Linked DNA regions of Drosophila melanogaster. Changing the gene in region 2 together with the main gene of any one other region gives a genetic interaction. Each region holds a gene or a part of one and is shown on either strand. Other genes may lie near its edges.

Region 1 (6,244 bases), on a different chromosome or scaffold from region 2:
AATGTTTTTCCTAATGAAATGACTTGTATGTTGAATAAGTTATGGATTAATATGTGGTCTGGCCATTTCTTCGACTAACCGATGCGTCTAAACTGGTCCCACAAATTCCTGCAATGGTTCCGTCGTTCTGCAATTGGACTAAAGTCTTTTCTTTCTTGAATCTCGAGTGGATTGCGACCGCATGGTCGTGGAGTAGAGTCGGACTTGTTTGGATGTAGGGCAGCCTAAAGCGGACAGATGAGTCAGTGCCGGTCCCCCGGCAGCGGATGTCGTTCATTTCAGTTGAAAACTCTTTTTTGGCTTAATTAATTCGACGATTGGCTTAATGGCGCGCTGAATCCTCAGCGGGTTTTCCTGCCCATGCATAAATTACTCAGCTATTTGCTTTCCGGAACCCAGCAACTCCCATGGAACCGCGCCAATCGCCTCGACATGCAATCAGTAATGAAAGCACACACTTTCCCGAGGGACCTTGGGGGCGAGCAAAAACAATTTCAGCTGATAACATCTCGCGTTTCCTGGCCACTCGAAACCATTAGATTTTGCTGCGTTTTCACCTCGCAACAAAGACCAAAATTAGAGCCGTAAGCACTGAAGGCAAAGGCAGTTCGGTTATATCACTGTAACGAATGAACTTCGAGAATGCTGGTCTTTGAAAGGTAAGTACAGTGAGGCCGCTGGTGGCGTGAACAAGAACGTATTTAAACTTCTAATCGAAAACAAAGGCGTAAAAGCGAAATAACCGACGTCGTGGAACACATATATGTACATAGAGTGGAAATCAACATCTCTCGATATCGTAGTGTGTTGCCAGATTTAGTCCTTCAACAGCTGGCTCAAATACATTAAATAGTATATAAGTATCTAAGTATAAGATATTAATAGTGAAATTTCAAGAGACGTCCTCATGTCTAGCCATAAATCGGAGCCCTGTAAGTTTTCGAAATTCGTCTCAGCTCAACGGTTTGCCATTAGCGAGGGACCCCTGTGCTGTGCGCCGAGGTCACCCCAACCCGCTGCCCGGTCCTCCATCAATGACAATAATCAATCACGGCTCACCGCAGAGGAGGAGGCCATGAGGCGGAGCAGAATGAGGAAACAAAGGGAGCGAAGATGAAAATCGAATCAAGGCGAACAGAAAGAGGAGTTAGTCGGTCGGTGGTGGTGGGAAGTGTGAAAAGTTGGCCACAAAAGCCGACGGCAAGGGGAGTTTTCCTTGCCGCGGCCAAATCACTTGAACTATGCTTTTCTTGCTCGCTACGTTAATTGAAAACACAATTTACTTAATTTTTGCATATCTCGCTTCAAATTACGTTGCATAATTTTGAATAATTTTTATTCGTATTTTTTGTGTTGCTTTTTTCTGCTTTACTCTTCTCTCTCCATCGTTTGGTAATAATTTTCCTTTCATATTTTCGTATTCTTTCGGTAAATGGTTGTTGTAACATTTTGCTGATTTGTAATTAAATATGCGTATGTGTAACTTTTAGCAATTGTTTTGTTTAATGTTGCTGCCGTTGTTGTTGTTGTTGCAGTTCTTGTTTTTGCCGTTGTTGCAGTTGTTATTGTTTATGTGGTTGGCTTACACAGAGCGGTTGCTGTTGTTTCTTGTTGGTTGTTTAATTTAAATTAAATTAATTACTAAAATTATTTTATAACAAATATCACTACAATAGTTTGCATTTTTTTTTTTTGTTGTTGTTTGTTTTTGTATCGTTTATCAATTACTACCATTACTAAAAGAAAAAAAGATCGCTCATTTCCTCTTTTCTCACCGTCGGACAACAATTTCTCATAGCAGCTAGACAGAATTTTGTTTCATCTCTTAATATTTTTAGAGTTAATTACTTTTGATTCTAAAAGCTTTGATGGGTGTGTATATATAGTACTGTTTTAGGGGAGGATCTATTAATTATTCCTTGAGGCGGCTATTTCATCGACGCGTACTTGGTAGGCGCCTGTCTCATGTGTTGCAAGTTGCTGTTGCTGCTGCTGATGTTGCCGTTGTCCTGGTTGCTGCTGGTGCTGCATCACACGTTGTAGCAGGAGATCTGCGGCAGGTGCTGGAATGTGGGCGTGGCCGCCACCGCCGTGGCCGCCGAACTGAACGGCACAAACGAGGTCTGGCCGGCGGCAGCGGCGGCGGCTGCCAAGTTGAGCGAGGCGGCCGCCGCGTACGGGTGCATCCGCTGGGACCGCAAGTACTGGCGGTACTTTCCGCTCAACTTGTCGGTGGCCGTGTTCACTGCTCCCGTCGCCCCCGCACCACTCACCGCCCCGCCTCCGCCCACCGACGCCGACCCGCCCGAGGCCGCTCCGGCGGTGGGCGTGGCCGAGTAGAGGCGCATGGGATTGGTGTCAGGGCCGGCCTGATAATTGCTAGGAACTGTGGCCATCGGCGAGCGGTCCATCAGCATGGACGTCGCGTCCCACGGCGGCGGAGGCAGGCAGTGTTGCTGTTGCTGCTGTGGCTGCTGCTGCTGCACCTGCGACTGTTGCAGCTTCCCCGAGGCGACCGCCGTCTGTCCGTAGCTGCCGGAGATCATGGCGTCCCGCTTCCCGCCCCCTGCTCCGCCGCCACTACCCTTGGCCGCGTAGTGGCTGTGGGGATGCAGCATGTGGTGCGGCGTGAGGGCGGTGCGGGCGGCCAGCGCAGCCAGTTGATCCCACTGGCCGGCGGCTGCGGCGGCTATCGAGGCCTGGGCCGCAGCTGCCGCCGCTGAGTTGGCTGCATGGCTCTGGCTCTGGCTCTGACTTTGGCTTTGGCGTTGGCTTTGGTTGCTGCTGGCACGTTGCTGCTGCTGCTGCTGCTGTTGCTGCTGCTGGTGCTGGCGGACCAGACTAGACTGTTGCTGGGGATAGTGGGCCTGCTGCGACATCTGCGACATCTGCTGGTGCTGTTGCCGCAGTTGCTGCTGTTGCTGTTGGTAGCGTTGCTGCTGTTGTTGCTGCTGCTGGGCGCTCGTAGCCGCCCGGGCTCCACGCCGCGCGGCACTACTGCTGGGCGCCGTGGCCACCGCCGCACCGCTTCCGCCTCCGCCCAGGGCCGCTCCGCTGCTCAGCGAGCTGCTGCTCACCGCCCGCGCGGTCGCATGCATGTTGTTCACGAACGGGCTGCGCCGCTGCGACTCCATCTTGCGGAAGTAGCACGGGTGGATCATCAGCAGGGGCTCCACTCTCTGGCCCGCCGGCGGCTTGGGCTGGTTGGGCAGCTCGTACTCCACGCTGCAGTCCACGTGCAGCGGGATGCTGTAGTCCTTCTGCGGCGATGGAGCGGGGGCTGCGTTGCTGTTGCTGCTGGCAGTCTGCTGCTGCTGCTGCTGCTGTTGCTGCTGTTGTTGCTGTTGTTGTTGTTGTCTGCTGTTGGCAACCGCGGCGGCGACCTGCGTTTGGGTCGCCGCCGCATGGCTGTGGCGCGAGTTGCTGCTGCTGCTGGTGTTGGCGGGCTGGTGGTGATGGCGGTGGTGTTGCTGCTGCTGCTGCTGTTGCAGCAACTGCTGCTGGTGGGCAGCCACGGCGGCGTGGTACATGTGTTGCTGCTGCTGCTGGTGATGATGCTGCTGCTGCGTCTGGCTGTGCTGCTGCTGTTGCTGCTGCTGTTGCTGCTGCAGGGCGGACAGGGCCGACATGCCGTGCGACAGGGACGACATGTCGTAGTTGGCATAACAGGCGGCCATCGTCATTGCTGTATTCAGGGGATCTTTTAGCTTTTGCTCTCGTTTCGGTAACACAGAATTCGCTTTTGGTTTGCTTATTTACTTAGATTTAGATTTTTATCATTTTGCGGATGTTTTTCGCTTTCTTCACTTTCGAAAAAATTCACTTTTGTGGTTTTATTGGCACTGGTAATCCAAAAAGAGCGGCTAACGGTAAATTTGCCGCTGCAGGTAATCCGTGAGTTGGTTGTTGCTTTTGTTTTTGTGTTTTGAGATAGGAGGAACCTTAATCCATATGTGTGTTTGCTTTGCTTTGGAATTCGCTTTAACCCGTATAATATTAGCTGCTGTTCGCGTGTTTAACTTTGTTTCGTTACGTTTATTGTATATTTATTAGCGTTTTAGTCAGTCTTTGTTTGGTTTTACATAAATGCAGCGAACAGTTGGAGCTGCTGGGTGAGTGTGAGTGCGAGTGGGTGCGCGTGTCGGGGTGAGTGAACAATCCACGTGTGTTTTCAGTCTTTTTGCCCGTTTTTGCTGGCTAACTTAACCGTTGCTTTTTAGCTACTCCTTGTCTTCTTTCCATTCGGTTATGCTCTGTTCTGTTCTTTTCTCGCGGGGGTGAGTTCGCGGAGTAGGTAACTTGTTAGTTCTATGCGCAATAGAACTGCCGAACGAACGTCTCATCCACTCCGAAGAAAAACGCGATCTGAATTGTAGTTTCTGCTTTGTAGTTTTGCTGCCGCCGCTTGCTTCTCTGCCGCGGTCTCTGCCGACGTTTGTAAGCGCAGCGAGTATGCTGAATACGGAGCGCGCACGAAAAACAGCTGTTGGCTAGACGCCTACGCCTGTGTGTAGGCTTTGCTTTTATTGTTTTTGTTGATTGTCTGCCGATTTACTTATTTTTCGTATCACAATTGGCTGCGTTGCGTTTGTTTTTGGGTTTTAACTGCGTGTTCACCTTCGACGCGACGTTGAATCTTCTTAACTCTCTTCTTCGTTAATTACGTGCCACAGACCACGCTTTATCTCCTCCTATGTCCGCACGAATCGAGCTCTTTGAAGCGACTGACTCGAAACGTCGTCTTCGCTCCATTCTGCCGACGCCTACCTGCTGTTCGGCACAGCTGATGTTCCGTGACGTATTCAGCACACACACAGTCGCAGGAGACGAGCGCAGAGTTATTGTTATTGTTGCTTTCCTATATAAATTGCATTCAATGGCCGCTCTCTCTCCCTCTCTGTGACCGCTCTCTCTGTGCCTGCGTGTGTGTGTGTGGTATACATTCAGCCATGTTACTACACGGCGGCCATCTTTACAACTGCTTTGGTCGAGACAGAGAGAGACAAAGAGGCGAGAAAAGAGCGAGAGAGCGCACATTATTTTGTAATACGATGTCTTTAACCGTTTTAGTGCTTTAATTTTTTACGGCAAACGCATTTTTGGGAGCAGCTTTATGGGGTCGTAAAAGCAGATGGGTTCTAAAGGGGTTAACGGCGAGTTGAGAGCTAATTGAGCCGCACTAAAAACGGGGAGTTGAATGAATCTATCAGCATCACCTGGTTAAAATGGGAATGGGTTATTTTTACTTATGTATTTCTGAGCACTTTGGTACACCCCTAAAACTTAAAACCCATATAATATCAACATAAGCAGTGTGATCTCCACACAACTGCCTAAAAATCCTCTGCGACGCAACTTCGAACACACCTACGTAGTTCCTTAATATAAGAATACAACAAATACCCCAAGAACCTCTCCGGTTTTGGAATACGAAAGCTAAACTGCGCACTGAGAGACTTTCTGCAGACCAAAAAAGGAAAACAAATTGCAAAAACTCAAACAGACAGCGATATTAAACATTTCTGTACTAAAAAATGGGCAATTTAAGTCAGGAAAGGGCACTGTCTCGCTCGCACACACACAGCGAGAGAGCGAGAGAGAGTGAGAAAACGGCTGGGAATTACACACATTGTAATAAATAAGGAAGGTCGTTGCCATAGCAGCCGCCGTTGGCGTCGTTTTTTTCCCCCCATTTTGTTGTTGCTGCAAGAGAGTGGCTCGCTCTGTGGGGCTCATTCAGCAACTGCTGATAACAAATCAGCTGTTTTGTTATTTGGGGAGGTGTGTCCGCGTGCGAGTGTGTTGGTGAGTCTGGCTGTCTCTCTTGGTACATATTTGTTTTTTTTTTTCTCAAAGCATATGTTTGTTGGAATCGCTGTTGCAGCTGTTGTTGTTGTGGGGCTGAAAGTTGTTGCTGTCAAGTTGCCATTGCATTTCAGTGTTGTTGCTATTCGATGTGCAAGTAAAATGAAAACCTATGTGGCGGATTTGCATTGAAGCATGTCTTTTAATCCAAAAAGTAAAACTAATGCTTCTTATTGTCTACTAAAAACTAATAATTCGTATTATGTGCTAATTATTCTAAGACTCTTAAGAAAGAACATGATTGGTGCATGTATACAAGTTAATGGATACTATTGTTTGATAGCCTTAATGATTTCCTGCTTTTCTACTGTTGTTGCCATGGTTTTGTTAATGAATTGTCTTCATTGCATCTGGGATTGTGGATGGTTTTTGGAGTCTG
Region 2 (7,912 bases):
TCAGCAGTAGGAAAAAAAGGTTTCGTAAAACTAAAAAAAAAATTAAACTCCGACCACTGATTTGATCTATAAAAGTTGGACAGCGTTTTCGGAACCTTGCAATAAAGGCAAAAATTCTTCAGACGTTACTCATTACGACCTAAGTTTATCAATAAATTAAAGGTTTAGTTGGATTCAATTCAGTTTCACTTAGGAATTACTTCAGGCTTAAGTTTTAATTCTAACTACGTAAATATAATCCCAGATTACCTCTAGTTCAAATGATTTTTTCATGTTCTTTGCATAGGGTGTTGTGAAATGATTAACAACGTTCAAATAAATACGTTAGTGATTATGAGTAATTGTGAACTTCTATACAAAGTGATGAATTGATGACTGGGATGGCAGTCTATGCTCTATCATACATGTGGCGTCCTGTCATTTGAGCTACGATATTACCCCTCTTGCTATGTTTAGATTACGTACAAAAGGATTGAAAGTCCGCTTCAAGTGAATCAAATTCAGCTTGGGTGGCAGACCCGGTTGGACCCGGTCCACAGGTAGGCAAAGGTCCATGCAAAGGTCGTGGGAGATCAGCATGGTCAAATAGAAGCTCAGGATACTGCCCGCTCCTATCCTCAGACTCTGGTAGACTGCTGAAGACTGTTGATCCAACGGCGGTGGCGCCAGCGGTCCTATAACCTCCCCGTCCTTTTCGTCGCACAGAGTCATGGACTCTACTATTGCCACAATCTTGGGGTCTGATCGGGGTGCTTAAACTAGCTGCAGCTTCGGCGCCGAAGGAGGGTCATATTCCTTGCTTTCGTCATGTGCGGGAAAAACAACTACATCACCTAATTATGGATTTCTCGCATAGATTCTGGATGGGATGGGCCTCGCAACAGAGTCAGTGATTCCAGGCACCGGTTGCTCTCTGGGGAGTTCCCTTTGTAGATTAGGTGCATGTAGCTGATGATTAGGGTGTACGTGCTGTGAGAAGTGGTGAGTCGGAACGTGATTCACTTTGTTCTGTCTGATCACATTCGCTCACGAAGTAAATGTCGTTACATTTAGGTGAAACGCGGGAAACTAAAGAAAGCGGTCTTTTGAAACCTTGACTTTGTTGCGTGTTTTTAATCCTTTACATCGCCTGGCGGGACCTCCTTAATGGACTCCACCTTGGCCACAATTTTGAGAGCTGGACCCAGCTTCATGCCCATGGCGTTAACCAAATGGTTTTCTTTGAGCAGCAGCAGCGCTTGGCCGTCGATCTCCTGCTGTATAAAGTCGTCCACGTAGTCCTGGCAACCAGGCAGTTCTCGGATGAAATTGCTAACTTCTTCCACACTCCAACTGCTGATGGGAGGGCGATCGGATCCATTTATATTCGAGGATGGTATTGCTAGGACCGGCGCAACCACTCCAGCTGAAACCACTGGCAGTGACACAGTGGGAGCTATTGCAATTGGCAAGGGCAATGTCAGGGGCAACGAAAGTGGTGAAGATGTCGACATAGCCGCCAGCACTGGCATCGAAATCGGTGGGACCTCCGGCGTAGCCGCTTGAATTGGCAAAGCGTCCGATACTGTCTGGTATGATTCTGTCTGCATCTTCTCCTCAGCCATGGCTTCATCCAGTCTGTCCACCAATGCCATTGCGTCCACCCCAACTATACCACCTGTCCCCAGGCCGTTCGTCTCTCCTGATCCAACTCCACCGATGCCGTTCTTTGCCTGCCTCGAGCATCCTGGCGAACAGTAGCGCTTCCGTTTCAGCTTTGCTTTGTGCTCCATCTTTCCACACTGCTCGCAAGCAACCATATCCGAGCCTGGAGCTGATGCTATTCCACTTAGCTTGATGTCCTCCTGCATGGTTGCCTTTTTCTCTGCGCGAAGGAATGACACGTTAAGATTGCGAAAAAGCATTGGTACCAGAAGTTTATACTCACTTGGCGGCTCATCGCTGACGTCTTTGTCTGCATATCGCTGTCTGGTGACGGGAAATGGCTCGTTGGCCTCCTGGATGATGAAGCCATCGATGACGTGAGTTAAGACGTTCGGCTTAATCATCGCCTTGGGGAGATCCTTCGATCCATTACTGATACTCGACGTGGTGGTTGTGGTTGTGCTGGTGCAACTTGTGGTAAAGGTGCCAGAACTGGTAGTGGTTGTGCTAGCGGTTGAGACAGCCGTGCTGGCTGTCGTTCTGGCTACTCCAATCCCATTGGTGATCGTTGTCGTGGTTGATGTTGATGTTGCGGACGTTAAACTGCCGCAGGTTGTCAGCTTCGGCTCTTCTTTCCCACTGACACTGTTGGGAATGGTGCTACTCGGTGGCTGCACTGCTGCATTGCTTTGCTTGCTGGTGGGAGTGGTAGCGCCCTTTGACGGCGTGGAAGACCTATCTGAGGCATCTCCATTGGACAGGGCTTCGCCTGTGGAACTACTGGCCTCTACGGATGCGCTAACAGTGGCAGGAGTAGATGATTTGGGGGTAGTGCAGGTGTCCTTTCCTGATACAGGAGTCTTGGGCGAATCAATGGGCACCAGGGTTGCGGTGGGCCCTTTTGAAGGTGTCTCTTTGGTGGGCGTGGCTGGAAAGCCTGCTCCTCCACCGCTACTAGCACTGCTTAGTGTGACCAGCTGTCCAGACGATGGAGTGACAGCGGTGCTAGAAACACTAACGGGTGGGGCAGTGGATAGGTGACCCACGGTGGCATTCATCATCGAGGTCATGGCCAGAATGGGATTTGTTGTAGGTGAGGGCGTGGTGGGTGTAAGTGAAGGTAGTCCCAGTTGCTGCTGCTGCTGCTGCTGTTGAGACCCTCCGGCAATAGTGGCGCTGATTAGCTGCTGATGTTGATGGATCTGAGTACCTTGCGTCTGAGCCTGCTGCATACTGGCCACCGTACTGCTGGTGACCAGAGGAGTGCTGCTCTGGCTGGTAATTGTGACCACACTGCTTGTGGGGAGCGTAGAGGAACTGCAAGTAATCGGTTTGGTTGTCTGAAAGATGGCGCCAGACACCGAGAGAGCTTCTTGTAGGGCACTGGATGTTATTCCGGCAATATCTTCCGCCGTCATCGATGGTGAAACCGAAAACGGCACGCTGCTAAGCTGCAACTGTCCAGACTGCTGTTGCGGTTGCTGCTGCTGCTGTTGAGAAGTCGCTCCAGTTGACTGTTGCACCACAATCTGCTGGATAATATTCTGCTGCTGCTCTCGCTGCTGTTGTTGCTGTTGCGCTTGAGCCTGCACTTGGGCTTGAACTTGTGCCTGCGCCTGTTGCTGTAGCTGCTGCTGTATCAGTTGGTTGTGAAGTTGCTGCTGCTGCTGTTGCTGGTGGGACGTGATGAATTGATTTGGCGCCACCTGAAGGATTTGCTGAGTGGCATTCGCGAGAGCCTGTTGATGCTGCGCCTGGGCTTGGGCAACTTGCTGCTGTTGCTCCCTCTGCTGTTGCTGAGCCTGCGCGACTGCCTGTTGTTGTTGCGCCACCGCTTGCTGTTGCTGGGCGTTAACCTGCTGCTGCTGAGAGACCTGTTGCTGCTGTTGTTGCTGGGCCTGAACAGCCGCTTGCTGCTGCTGCATTTGAATGGCAGCAATTTGCTGTTGCAACATTTGTTGTTGAAGGATGTGCTGTTTCTGAAACAGTTGTAGCTGCTGTTGCTGCTTGTCGACTCCTGCCGCAGTGGCTGCATGAAGGGTCTGTCCATTCTGCAGGGTGATCGGAGTGCCCGTTGTGCTCATCACAACCATTCTGGAAAGATGCAAAAATAAGTACTGTGACAAGGCAGATAATAAACAAACAATACTCACTTGTTGCCCGCCGCATTAACCACCTGCTGGAGATTCGTCGCCTGTTGCTGCTGCTGCACGGTGGTCAGGTGGCCTACTACCTTATTTTGTCCTGCGACTTGACCGATTTCGGTTTTCAATGTGGCTAAAGCGGGGCGCACCGGCTGCTGCTTGTTGCGCATTTTGGCCTTCAGCAGGCTCTGGTTCTGGGCAGTCTGTGTGGATACGGAACTGGCCGGACGCACTTGAGTTCCATTGTGGGGCATGACAGGGGCTCCTGGTCGCTGCAGAGCGGCTGCAGTGAGTTGCTGCTGCTGTTGCTGCAACTGGGCAGTAGCCACCGCTAGTTGCTGCTGCTGCGTCTGGTTGGTAGTGCCAACCTGCTGCTGCTGCTGTTGCTGCTTGGGAGCAAGTGCATCCAGTTGAGTGCGTGCCTTAGTGGGCGTCTGCGTCACGTTGCATTGAATAATCTCTGTAGGAAGATAGTTGACTTTAGTACCTATCCGATGCAATATACATGACAATATTCTTACGGTTTTGCTGGGTCTGCAAAGTCTGCGTCGCCGGTTGCTGTTGAATGAACATGCCTTGGGTTCCGTCTGGCTGGTTTCGCAGGATGATCTGATTGGAGCCGAAGGGTTGCAGGCCCGCCGCATTCTGCCAGAACCAAGGGATCTGCATTTGTTGCGCTTGGCCAGCGTTCAAAAGTTGGGCAGTCTGAACAGACTGTCCACCCACACCGACTGGCAAAGTCGACTGTGAAACCTGCACGCACTGCTGAGTGGTTTGGGTGGTCTGCTGCTGCTGTTGCTGAACCTGCTGCACCTGCTGGGTCTGTGTTGACCCAGTAGATCCAGGACCCGTCGCCGCCTGCACCGTGCTGCTGGTGGTGGTCACCTTCTGAACCACTTTCTGGGCCAGCTTGCCCTGCGCATCCACTCCCACCTTGGCCAGAGCGGCAGTCAGCTGTTGCTGTTGCTGCTGCTGGTTGAGCTGCTGTTGCTGCTGGTTAAGCTGTTGCTGCTGCTGTTGGGTAAGTTGCTGTTGTTGAGCTGCGGCGGCCATTGATTGCAGAAGGTTTTGCTGCTGCTGTGGCGAGTGGGAGATGACATTCACCGGCGAGATGAGCACCGTCTGAGGCGACTGATTGTGGTTCGAAGGAATGCAGGTCGCGTAATTTCCGCCAGCGAATCCCGCTTGGCCACCGATCATTTGCTTGGCGTTTTGAGTCGTGGTGGTAAGCATCTGGGGGCCGTTGCCTTGGAATGGCTTGCCGGCGGTGATCACCTGGATTGGCTGCTGACCGAGGCCTCCTGGATGCAACAGATTTCCCGACACAATCATTTGGGGATACAGGAAACTGGTGGAGGGTTGCATTAGCTGCACCGTCCTTCCCTGTGTCCAATCCCCGCCAACTCCTCCAGTGGCCGCTGCCAATTGCATCGGCGACATGGTGCTGATGGCTGTGGAGTGCTGCTGTTGCTGGCTTTGCTGCGAGTTGGCCGGACTAGCTGCTCCTCCGGCTCCGGCCGAGGCTGCTCCTCCACCGTTGGCTTCCGACAGCTGCTGCTGCAGCTGCAACTGCTGCTGAACTTCCATAATGTTGGTTGCATGCTTTAGTTCAGTTCCACTGCCACTGGTCGTGTGCGTGGGAAACTCTTGCTTCACCTGAATGGCGTAGGGATTGTTTGCATATAACTGCTGCAGCTGCTCGGGGGAGATCTGCAGCGGCACATTGGTGGCGGCCGCCACCTGTTGAGCTGGACTCTGTGACTTCTCCAGTTTGCGGCCGGTTGTCTTTGAGTCGGGTGCGCTTGGCGATCTGCTGCTGAGCGGTAGTAGTGGGTGGCGCCGTCTGATTGATGGCGTTCCGACTGACCCACGTGCTGCCTTAGAGCTGGGCGATTGGGATGGACTCTTGGCAAAGTCCTCGTCGAAGCTGATGCCTGCCTTCTGGGCGAGTGTTTCCAGGCACCTTAGTGGCCGCTGGGGGTCCACGCGAGTGGTGGAGTTGACCTTTACAGATGTGGTGGCTTCCGGGGAAGGTGGTGGTGTACGTATTGTTGTTGCTGATTCACTTTCGGTGTCCCCACTGCTGGAAAGAGAAAGAGGAAACGCACACAGACTATCAGTAAATTGCTTTAAACACAAACAAACACGGACACACTTGGCGCGGCTCCGAATCCGTGGGGCATGCTTCATATTCATGTTTAAATTTATATTTATATTCTTATTCATATTCTCTTAGCGCTTGACGAACAAACCGCACAACAACAAACTGCGACTGCATGTTACTCCCGCCAAAGACTCTCTCTCTTGCTCTCCAACGCGAAAAGGGGGACGAGGAACAGAAAAAGAAAGAAGGGGGTGCGACAGGGACGCACTACCATTGAGAAAGACAAAGACGGGATCGATCTGGGTCCAAAAACGCCAAAGAAAACGAAAACGAAAACAAAGTCGGGACGAAAATGTGAGAAGGGAACGAGAGATACACTTTGTTTTGGATGATCGTTCACTCACGAGGTAATTTACTTACAGTGGATACTGTTTAGGTGAGACGTGGTAAGCTTAAACACCAACATATTATATGGGAAATTACAAATGATTGCAGCTACAACTTTGTACAACACTAGCCCCACCGTGTATTCAGTACTTTTTACGGAACAGGTAAATAAATATTTTAATTTGTTCATGATTCGTGACCCACTAAAAGTGCACTGTTTTTCATATGTGCATGCACACCAACACCTAAAGCAGGTCACTTGTCAGCGTTGCCTGTGCCCGAAACATCTATTTATAGTAGGATTGCTCTCTGCTGCATATTCCCCTTCTCCATCACCTCCTCCCATCTACTACGCAGAGAGGAAGTTCGAGTGGGTGTAAGGGAGACCACTTTTATTTACGGATGGCCCTTGGGCGATGGTTATAAGCCATCATGGTGATATCCAAGGGGACAGGTTCAAAGACCTAAGCTGGGCGCTCAAAATGCTGTCGCCAGTTGTCCAGGAGTAAGAAATGGCCGCGGCTCAGAGGAGCGGAAGGAGCAACCGGCGCCACCAATAATAGTTAGGAGTTTCAGTTACATTTGGTGTGTATCGGGGGTGGATTTTGGCTTCCATTTCCATCGGCAGGCTAAGAGCGGAACGGATTTGGAAGGGGGGTAATAAACCTAGGCACAGCAGCATCTTCAACTTGCAACCGAAAGACTGGTTTCTTTCTACCGCGCCACGATATGTGCATGTGTGTGTGTGCATGTGCGTGTGGCGGCATACAATAATGCCATCATTATTTGATTTTTCCCTTAGCCAAAAATTGAGTTGCAAGAGGCAGAAACAGAGGAAGAGGAGAAGGAGAAAACGAAGAGGCAGGGAGCAATGACAACAATGCGGCGCAAACAACAGGCAAAGAGCATGCGCCGACGACAGCGTCTCATCAGAAAAAATATGTTTTACCGTTTTCATTTTTGCTTTCCTTGCTGTACTGTATTATTGTATATTTGGAGGCACCTGTACATGCCTAACATTCAAAACGACGCAACTTTAGACGCCGCACAGCATTAATTGTTTTCACTAATCACTTATAGTCAGCACCGATTTGCATTGATCGCCAAAAATAAATATATAAATAAATACTACGAAACGGTGGTAGGGTGTGTGTGCGTCGCGTCGGCGCTTTTTTTTTCCCCCGTTCAATACACATGCGGTATGCGACACATCGACACCACACCAACACGAACGCAAAGAGAGCAGAGCGCAAGAACCGCACGCCGCCAAGTTAAGTTTCAAACTGAACCGCGCGCTACAGCGACAACTCTACTTTTGCTCGGATCGGAAACAAAATGAGCGCATGTGTGCTGAATGTGTGTGTGTGTGTGTTGGTGTGCAGCTGGATCCGCTTCTCTCCTCTCAGATACCGTTGCGACTAATAACTTTTCTCTATACCGAAATGCACGGGTGCGAGTGCGACGCCACTAGGAGTGGCCCTGGTCAGATAGCGCGTGCGAGCGGGATGCCGTGCGTTCGCTTGGGGTTGGAATGAAACGGCAGCAGTTGACAAAGCAAAACCAAAACGAGTAAAAAAAACAGGAATCAAGACTACAGCTGGCGGGCATGTGTATGCGTGCTCAACCACCCCGA
Region 3 (5,300 bases), on a different chromosome or scaffold from region 2:
CAAAGGTACTAAAAAGCTCACCGTTATAAAGCCCACTCCGCAGCCGTAGACCGTTTCCTGAAAGGAAATCTCCTGGCGCGAAATGCTAAAGTAGTTGAGGAAGTTTCCAGAGGCAAAAACCAGCGTGTCTGAATCCACAAGGACCAAATTAAACAGCTTCTTACAATCGTAACCAAAGGAGTGTCTGCAGCAGAAGTTTTCCAATCAAGAAAAAGTTATCAACTTCCAATTCCGTACTCACTCTACACTGACGATATCACGCGGAAAGGATACGTCGTTCTCATTCTCCAACTCCTCCTCTTCGCCCAGCAGATCAGATTCCTGCGTAGTATCCATATTATTTAGCTATTATTGTACAAAACTTAACTTGCTGTGTATTTATTTATTTGATACAAGTGAAAAGGTTTACTTGAGTGTTTGTTTGCCTGTTGCCAGGTCACATGAAACCGGCTATCTGAAAAGAGTTCTGCAAACGTGGAGCATGCGCAGAAGTGCGTTCAACAAGTTTCATTCAATGCTATAACATTCTCAAATACAATTTATTACGATTAACTCAATAAACATTCTAGGATTAAATTCCATTACACAATCTAAATATCTAATTCCAAAAAAGCCTCATCATCATCATCGTTAAAGAACGCCGCGATATCCGACTCAGCCTTGTTTACTTTGGTCATTTCTGTATTATTATTTTGCTCAGGCGGCTCTTTAGCTGGAATAGTTGAAAAATATTGTTTTATGCTATTCCTTTCCGGTTCAAGGGAGGTGGACGTGGAGGGCGAGAAGTACTCCTCGATCTTGTGGGACTAAAAAAAAAGTTGAGTTAGCGAAAAATACATTTTTCAAAGTATTCAAAATGTATCTTACTGAAGTGGGTGCTGCTGTGTGTGTTGCTTTCTGAAGATTTTCGGCAAAGATGCCCACTTTACTAAGCACCTCTTGCTTATTTTTCAGCATGTTCCAGATTATATCGTCTGCCGTATTGTGAGCAATCAGATAGCGACAAATCACCGGTTTTGTCTGACCAATGCGATGGGCACGGCTCTCCGCCTGGGCAAGAGTCTGCACATAAAATAAAACTAAATTTAAGCGTTCTCCAAGTTAACATATAAGCGAAGCTTACGCTAGGATTCCAGTCCAGTTCAGCGAACACTATGATCTCAGCTGCAGTTAGCGTTATTCCTGAATTGCAGGCTTTTAGGGAGAGCAGGGCCACCTTACAACTGCTCTTCTTTTGGAACGTGTCCACAGAATCCGACCTGTGATCGCTACGCGTTTGTCCATCAATACGTATGTAGTGTACTTTCAATCCACTGAGGAAGTCGCTAATGGCGTCCATCATGACACGATGGTGGGCAAAGATAATGAACTTTTTCTGCTCCTTAACTAAGGTTTTTAGGTAGGCGCTATAATGCAGGATAATACATTAACTTCAGATGGTTTATATGGTTTTAATGATTTTTTTTATTACCAGACCGCTCGAGTTTTCACTTCGGCAGTGCGTGCATAGAAACGGAGTAAGATCTCTTCCGTTGCCCTGCCTTTAGCGGTTTTAAGCTCTTTGTTAAACGCATCCAAGGTTTCCTTGGTCTCCGCATTGGTCCACACTAGGGCGGGATCCAGGACGACAGTCTCACTGCGGATGGAAGAATGTTCGAAATGTTAGAAAATATATTATAGATATACAACAATGTGAACAACCCACCGGTTCTTCTCAGCGAGTTGAGGCAGCACCTCCACTTTCGTTCGCCTCAGCATATATTTAAGGTGAAGTATGACCTTCAGTTCCTCCAAATTCGATTGACCATTGGCATCCCAACCAAAAGTTGACTGCTTTCCATCACAATAACGAGTAGCTGTGAATGTGTTAATCGATATAAGCGCGTTCTAAGGTAAACAGACATTCTTGACATACTGAACTCCATGAAATTCATGAATTTGCCATCAATCATTTGCAGTTGCGTAAAAAGTTCCAATGGCCGGGAGAGAGCCGGTGTGCCGGATAGCAAAACCACCCGCTTCGCCTGATCCGTGAGTCTTTTGGCCGTTGTCGTGCACTTGGCCTTGCTGTTCTTCAGCGTGTGCGACTCGTCGAAGATGATGAAACCAAACTTCCGCTGCATCAGCTTATCTTCGTGTCGCTCCATCATATTGTAGCTGGTGATTAGCACCTTGGCCTCACCCACATATAGCTGATTGTTGTTCAGCACCTGGACATAGTGGATGGGCACCTTCGGCAGTAGATCCATTATGTGTTTCGCCCAACTGTCTCTCGTAGAAGCGGTGGTGCAGACAAGCAAGGGCCAATCATCCTTGAAATAGTCGGCTACGGCCAAGGCCTGATAGGTTTTGCCCAGGCCCATTTCATCACAGATCATAATGCGTCCCTTTTGGGCTATGGCAAAGCTAAACATATGATAAATTTAGCGCTTTTGGAAGTACATAGCATACAAGCAATGCTTACCATACCCCATCCTGTTGGAAGGGCATTAGCTGGTCCGCCAGCTTCGGTTCTATGGAAGCTAAAACACTTCTTTCCGGAACTACTGGCGGCTGGCCGCAGAGATCCAGCACCTTCTTCGGAATGCCATTCATGTGAACATATGGCTTTAGATCCGCTGCATGAGTTTTCAGGGATTGGTAGTCCGACAGATCGAAACTCCAGATACGGGTTTGGCCATCGTAGCACTTGGTGGGCATGTTCTTGAACACGGTCACGAGCTGTTCGTGATATCCTGAGGTTTGGGCAGCAAACCGATGTGTGCTGATCAAGTAGAGATTACACGTGATGGAGTTTCCGAGTAGCACAGCCACCGGTTTCTCCTTATCCGAACTCAGTGAAAGAGTGGGCTTGTTTCTTTCGTTCCCTCCATTTGGCCGCTGGTAAGGATGTGCTGCTCCGCGGGACAATTCCCGGTTGGATGTCTGTTTGATTGCTTTCAGAGCGTTCAGAAAGGATGAGCTCTTGTTGTCACCGGGCGTGGGACCGCTCCTGTTGATCTTCTTCTGCTCCCCCGTCGGTGATCGGTAGAAATTCAATGGGGATTTGGCCTGCGGTTGATTGGGATTTGATTTTCCATTATTCGCATGTTGCGTCGCACCTGTTGCAGACGTTGTTGATTTTCCATTGGTTGCGGGTGCGCTGGCCAGCAGCTGGGATTTCTTGGCCTGCAATTTGGCCAGCGCAATGCGCTTCTTCTCCGCTATCTCGGATGAACTGCAAGTGGACATGCTGCGACATCAATTGATAAAATTTGGCGGAATATATAAACAATAAATGCATGGCTCTGTGTGACCAGGTGAGCCATTTTTCAATCCTTACATCTTACATTGGGCGCCTATTTTAAATTATTTTTACATTTTACATACTCTATGTATACATTATTATGTATATATTATGTATAAATTATTTAGTCCTTAAATTAAATTAAAATCATTTCTGTTTTCTTATATTGCCTACGTCGGTTGTAAGCGAAGATAATCAGCTTAGAATTTTTCCTAAAAGCGAGTTATTATTTTTTTTGCCTATCAAGATGTTCTTAGACGTGCTATCAATTAATTTCCATTGGTATCAGAGGGCGAATTTCTTAGAGATAGGATAACGCCGAGTGGGGGCTACTCCAGACAGCGATAAGGGGCGCAATAAAAACGGATGGAAGTCTGGCGCAGACCACGATTGATCCAATCACCATGAAAGTGTTCGTTGTACTGGCTCTGGCTTTGGCCGCTGTCTCCGCCGAGACTGTCCAGCAGGTTCATCCCAAGGACCTGCCCAAGGACACCAAGATCAATGGCCGCATTGTGAACGGATATCCAGCCTACGAGGGCAAGGCTCCCTACACCGTGGGTCTGGGCTTCAGCGGCAACGGCGGCTGGTGGTGCGGTGGTTCTATCATCGCCCACGATTGGGTCCTGACTGCTGCTCACTGCACCAACGGCGCCTCCCAGGTGACCATCTACTACGGAGCCACCTGGCGCACCAACGCCCAGTTCACCCACACCGTCGGCAGCGGCGACTTCATCCAGAACCACAACTGGCCCAACCAGAACGGCAACGACATCGCCTTGATCCGCACCCCCCACGTGGACTTCTGGCACATGGTTAACAAGGTGGAGCTGCCCAGCTTCAACGATCGCTACAACATGTACGACAACTATTGGGCCGTCGCCTGCGGTTGGGGACTGACCACCGCCGGATCCCAGCCCGATTGGATGGAGTGCGTCGACCTGCAGATCATTAGCAACTCGGAATGCTCCCGCACCTACGGCACCCAGCCCGATGGCATCCTCTGTGTGTCCACCTCCGGCGGAAAGTCCACCTGCTCCGGTGACTCCGGTGGCCCCCTGGTTCTCCACGACGGTGGCCGCCTGGTGGGTGTCACCTCCTGGGTTTCCGGCAACGGTTGCACCGCTGGCCTGCCCTCCGGATTCACCCGTGTTACCAACCAGCTGGACTGGATCCGCGACAACTCCGGCGTTGCTTACTACTAAGCTTGATTATCTTTATTTTTAAATAAACGAAATGCATAACAATTAATTTGACGCCTTTATGTTTCTGGTTTTATTACATTTAAAAAATCACATGGATATTTTTAAGTTTCAAAAGTCTAGTCATGCAGAATCCGAATCTATAATAAACGTCTTATAGATAAGAAGCCATGAATGGCTAAGAAATGGGATGGTTTCTTGGCAATCGAACACTTGTTATCTGGAAAACATGATTAAACACTATATATGTAGCCATGATAGACATAAGTAGGAATACTAGCAACTGTGGTCTATACTAGTCAATAATCAGATAATGAAATAATATATATATTTACCAAAAGATTATATATTCCAAAGGATTATTATACTGACAAATCACAAAAGCGAAGTGATATATTTATTAAATATATGAAATATATTTCTAAAAAATAATACAACTTTCGTCTTTAAAATATTTCACTTTTTACTTGTAAATGTTTAGTTTATTGTTTTAAATTTTAATTTTAATAACTTTAATGGGAGTGCGTTTAATATTAAAACCTAAACAATGTAGCGCACTTACGAACGTTAAGTACAGTATAATTCGCTTAGCTGCCTCGAGTACTTTGCACAATGCCTCGATGCAGGTAACTTAAAAATGCAGCTAACTTAATTTTTTTTTTTCTATTTTCTATTTTCTATTCACACAAAAAAATGGAAAAATAATGCAGATATCTTGCCGATGCAGCTAACTATCGATGCAGCTAAGCGAATTATACTGTAATACTACTTTTGAATGACCACAGGACGTGTGCCCTAATCTCTGTGCGCTC
Region 4 (4,977 bases), on a different chromosome or scaffold from region 2:
CTAAGTTGTGTAATTGGGAATCAGGTAGTTAGAAGGGACGACTTTTGATGGATGAATTACAATTATTTACTGATATTTCAACGTTACTTTCTTCAAGCTGGTGTATTAAGATCTATAAAACGTGTGGATAATTGGCTAAAAACTGTCGTAAGTGCTTAAACAGCTGAGCTCGGCAATCTTACAAATTGCATTCAATGATACTTAATAAAGCAATTAAATTTAACTAGTTAAAGATAAAGTAACTCTCGTAATTATATGCCCATTTAAGGCTGATATTGTAATTGAATAATGCTATTGTCAACTACTCTGTTGAACACCAAAGTTTAGTAAGGTCTTAAACGTTTTAATATTGTGTTATAATATCAAGTATCTGTGATAAAATGCATTCAGTCTATTGAGTAAACCTTTGGCAATTCATTACCGATAATAAACTAGCTGAGCAAGCTAATAAAGGTAAACACCTTAACCAAATGACTGCCATCAAGTGGCTTAAATCACTCTCCATTCGCCACTTGAACCACATGATCCATGGACTTACCCGAGATTCCAGGGGATTAGCCAAAAACTATCAAGGAATCCGAATTGCTTGTTCAAACAGCAATAAGCCACCCCATAAATGAGCATATGGGGCACTCCCACCCATCCGATTCCCCCCCAAATTTCAGCCATGAAATTATTAGGCAAACGATTACGAATTCCCTGCGGTGGCATAAACTAAATTCATGAGAGTGCCATGATTGCTGGGAGATTGTTTTGGGGTTGTTCTCGACGGGTTGGGGTGGTGCTGCACACACAAAAACACACACGGGGTGGGTGGGGTGTAGCGGCATAATGAGCTTAAGTTATGTTACATAAGCCATAAGGACATGAAAACCACTCGAGCAGACACTTCACTTCGGGGTGAGTGTTCGCCTCCCTTTCGCTCGCACTCACTTCATTTCGGTGGTTGGCAAACTAATGAGCTGTGGGTTGCTGTGGTTTGGCTCCGTTCGCCGGCTCTTCTGTGGTGTCTGTCGCTTGTTTGCACAACCGCTTTATGAGCCACCACTCAACAGCTCGTCTCCTCGAGTGTGTTTGAGTTTGGAGAAAGAGTGAGTGACTAGCAGTGCACTGCTTTAGCATAAGATGTAAGATGCTTTAGAAAATGCAGGAAATATCCATAGAAACATATGCAAGTAAATAAATTTTGCCAGGATCTACTACAGAATATCTATAATAATACTGGCATGGTGCTGGAGAATCGTATGTTAACGAGAAAACTTGAAACCAAAGGCTTTTCTTTCAAGCTTATGAAGATTAGTATTCAAAACACCAAAACGTAATTTCATAAACTATATTTGCATTCACAAAGTTCATAAAAAGTACGTTAAACGTAGAAATATACAATATTATTTCATCAATATTTGTACTTATGTTTCGCTAGACAACTTAGATAACTGAAGCAAAATTTTTAAAGAGACTTGGACTCACCTGAGCTGGGACGATCGCTGTAGCGGGTGCAGTAGACCCACGCTGGCCAAACGATGGGAGTGCCGGAATCCTCGCCCGATTTACCGGATGCTCCTGTGGCACCCGCTCCTGCCGCTGGCGGTGGCGACTTGACCAGATCCACTGGTGCCCCCGAGGTGTTCGTCGTGCTGCTGCTGGTGGCGGTGCTATTGGAATCGTTGCTGTTGCTGCATATATTCGCCAGCGAGCTGGAGAAGCTCAAGCTCGAGTTGGCGGCGGCGTTACTTTGAGCCAGATTCAGTGGCTTTCCCGACTTCTTGGGCGCCTTTAGGGGAGATCTGTTGCCATTGGTATTTCCAGAATTTTTACTGCTGCCAGTACTGCTCCCACTTACACTGCCACCACCGATATTGCCACTTAAAGCACCAATCTTGGGCAATCTGGAACCAAAGTCCGCCTTCAGGATATTGTCTATGCTGAATTTGAGCGCCCTTTCGTGCAGATTTTCATTGTTATTCAGGTGATTCTGCATGTGATGATGGTGGTGGACCTGATCCCTTTGCAGTAGCAATTGCTGATGGGGATGCACCGCTCCACCGGGTCCCAGACCCAATGCCGTGGCCGTCAGCTGAGCCAGTGCATCCTGACCGCTGGGCACTGTGGCAACCGCCGCCGCCGCCATTGCCATTTGCAGCTGTTTTCCCGCCGCCGCTGCCGTGAGAGCGTTCACCCTGGCGGCGGCCATTAGATGCATCTGCTGTTTCATCAGCTCCTCGGCGTACAGCTGGGACTTTCGCAGGAACTCCTCCTGGAAGGTTCCAGTGGAGGGAGGCAGTTGCAGGAGATCTTCGGGTGAGAAGGGCGGACCTTCGCTGGGCGGCAAAACAGTGGTAGCAGTGCTGCTGAATGCCGACGGTCGATAGATTTGGCTGATCAAAAGCCTCTGCCTGGCCTGAGCTTGAGCGGATAGCGCAGCCTGTGCTGCTTCCGATTGTTCCTGGCCCACACTCAAGACACTATTCTCACTGCAGCAGCTGGCCGGATCCTCCAGGTCCAAATCGTGCTCCTCCTCGACCTCTTCATCCTCTATGTTCAGCTGCTCCTCGCACTCCGTCTGCTCGTCCTCCTCCTCCTCCCGCACTTGGGGCGAGTTGCCCGGCTGGACAAGCGGCAAGGGCAAGCAATCCGGATGCATTTTACCTACTTCCTGGCCACCTCCGCCCGCTCTCCTCTCCTGCGCGTGGTCCTCTGCCTCCTCTAAGGAAGGAATAGTCAGCTTGAGCGGGGGCGGTCGAGTGCTGGCCAAGGTGGACATCAGTTTGAGGGCTTAGGTCTTCAGCTCGAAAGTTCACAGGGACCAAAAGCCGACGGCATTTCAGGGCAGCCAGAAAGCATTAAAAACATTAACCACAGCCAAAAGATATCACTTGGATTGGCAAATACGCCGCGCTATCGTCTTCGATTGACAATTGGTTTTTGGGTTGGGTGATAAACTTGTCGATACCGACGTTAATCCGCTCGTCCGTTAAAAACGTAACGTGCGCTGTTACGAACCGCCGACCAACTGATTCTCTCGCGAACTGAATAGCAAAGCGAGACGGCTGCAGCTGAGAGCCGATTCAAAAAGAGAACTCTCTCTCGCACACGCTCTCTCTCACTCTCCGTCCTGCTCTGGCTTTTCGAACATCCAATCAGCGGCTGCGGGGCGTGCCCTACTGTTGTCCCGCTCGCGCACACGGTCAGCCGCCTGTCAGTTGAGGTTATGTTAAGTGTTTGTATATTTGTTAATTAAGTGCGTCGTCGCCGCAAAAAGAAAAAAGCGAAAAAGAAGGAAAATAGGGATAAGAACTCCACTCCATTTCCATCTGCGCCTTGTCGTTTTGATTATGCGCTGCAGCATTTAAGTCGTAAATCTCACTCTATGTAGGCTGCTCTCGCCCTCCTCCTCCATCATCATCACTTCACTCCCCCTTTCTTTCGCTCCTCTTTGCGGTCTGGCATCTGCAGTCCTTTTTTGCTGGCATCCTATCCGCCGTCCAGCATTATATACCCACACACACATATGGAGTGTGTGCCTGTTTATATACAACACATGCCACAGCTTCCCCGTCTCCTTCACTCCTTCGCTTCCTTTTACTTATTGTTCTTGTTGCTCCGATACAACGAACATTTTTGCGCTTTTTGATGTCATTGTTGTTGTTAGCTGCGCTTTATAAATCACCACCACAATTTTTGTTGCCCCAACATCTGCCGTGATTTCATAATTGCTTTTGATGCTTTTTTGTCGCCGTTTTATTGTTTGTTGTCGTTTTGCCTTCACACATCCCATCGGACAACATTGATGATAGTTCTGCGTAAATGAATACCAATACGTGTGCAATTGCATACGCTTAATCATGGGCGTAGATTCAAAAGCACTGGGGGGATAATGATCAGCTTGCTGGGTTTCTACTGAACACCTTGTCCGGCATTTAAAGACCTCTTAGTAATGCCAAAATAATTGTAATTTAAATTTGGTCCCACAAGCTAATCAATCTGATATCAATAAAAAAATCAAACTTTGATATTCATGATTACTTACATAAGACATTATTTTTAGAATTTAAGTCACTTCGTTCATGTACTATGGAAATTATCCTCCATTCCTGACCAATTTAAGTAGCCCCTTCTCCCGCCAATGAAAATTTGACATACGTTTGCTTGGGCTTGTCTAATTGGCGAACATACTGCATTGTTGCTGTGCTTTGTGCTCATAAATCTGTATTTAGCTTTCCTTTCAAGTATTTGAGACATTTTTGTGTGTGTCATGTGTGGGGTGAAAACGAGTTTGCCTTGTTTGAAGTGAGGTTGTGCAGGGCATGCCGATCACTCTTTTAATTAAATCAGAAAACTTTGTTGTAGTCCACGAAAAGATTTCTAGGAATGGCTGCATTCATTTGCATCATTTGCTGCGGACCTCTTTAGTGACACAGCCGAAATCGGTTAATGTATCATATTTCATATCTGAAATCGACTATCAAAGTTGCACCTTTTCTCCGTTATCGCCGACAGATTGGACATAAAATATCGGAATTCCAGCGATCTTTTTATCGCTGCTGTTGAACCCATAAAGCCCGAATCATGGAGTTTTTCGGGCTGTCCGCGCTTTATTATCGCTTCGAATCGTATTGGTGGAACCACGCCCCGAAATGCAAAGCAATCCAAGCCAGTTTAATAACTTTGTTGCACCATTACAAAGAAGCCAATGCCAGATGCCGACACTGCGATAGTATAAGCACCGACAAACGAATTAATCAGGCTTAATTTCCAGCCCTCGACAAAAGAAACAATTATACGCAGTATGATTAGGAAAAGGAATGGAGTACAAGAAAATAGTTTCATACAGTCGAGCTTCTGTCACTTAACCCTTACCATTTATTTGCCTAAAGACCCGAACATTACCTAATACAGTATAATTCGCTTAGCTGCCTCGAGTACTTTGCACAATGCCTCGATGCAGGTAACTTAAAAATGCAGCTAACTTAATTT

What was found.
Region 1: of ph-d (region 2) and corto, changing one enhances a phenotype caused by changing the other (phenotypic enhancement), as found in Drosophila melanogaster (one study listed by BioGRID).
Region 3: of ph-d (region 2) and Marcal1, changing one enhances a phenotype caused by changing the other (phenotypic enhancement), as found in Drosophila melanogaster (one study listed by BioGRID).
Region 4: of ph-d (region 2) and inv, changing one suppresses a phenotype caused by changing the other (phenotypic suppression), as found in Drosophila melanogaster (one study listed by BioGRID).

The regions. Positions count from the first base shown.
Region 1 is NT_033777.3:5,082,343-5,088,586, forward strand, and holds the start of corto (corto), read right to left. Parts: upstream 4,731-6,244; 5' UTR 3,684-4,730; coding exon 2,031-3,683; 3' UTR 1-2,030. UniProt on the Drosophila melanogaster protein: Essential protein required for proper condensation of mitotic chromosomes and progression through mitosis. Binds to specific polytene chromosome sites, many of which are shared with the posterior sex combs (Psc) protein.
Region 2 is NC_004354.4:2,115,754-2,123,665, forward strand, and holds the start of ph-d (polyhomeotic distal), read right to left. Parts: upstream 6,040-7,912; 5' UTR 5,972-6,039; coding exon 5,934-5,971; intron 5,872-5,933; coding exon 4,310-5,871; intron 4,249-4,309; coding exon 3,798-4,248; intron 3,739-3,797; coding exon 1,928-3,738; intron 1,865-1,927; coding exon 1,113-1,864; 3' UTR 1-1,112.
Region 3 is NT_033779.5:4,953,514-4,958,813, reverse strand, and holds Marcal1 (Marcal1), read right to left. Parts: upstream 3,306-5,300; 5' UTR 3,232-3,305; coding exon 2,465-3,231; intron 2,407-2,464; coding exon 1,916-2,406; intron 1,857-1,915; coding exon 1,706-1,856; intron 1,637-1,705; coding exon 1,472-1,636; intron 1,407-1,471; coding exon 1,124-1,406; intron 1,063-1,123; coding exon 868-1,062; intron 807-867; coding exon 591-806; 3' UTR 522-590; downstream 1-521. Other genes in the region: CG34124 (uncharacterized protein), read right to left, coding at 22-184, 242-336; Jon25Bi (jonah 25Bi), read left to right, coding at 3,691-4,491. UniProt on the Drosophila melanogaster protein: ATP-dependent annealing helicase that catalyzes the rewinding of the stably unwound DNA.
Region 4 is NT_033778.4:11,473,763-11,478,739, reverse strand, and holds the start of inv (invected), read right to left. Parts: upstream 3,033-4,977; 5' UTR 2,765-3,032; coding exon 1,471-2,764; intron 1-1,470. UniProt on the Drosophila melanogaster protein: Engrailed (en) and invected (inv) are functionally redundant transcription factors in neuronal precursor cell NB5-3 specification.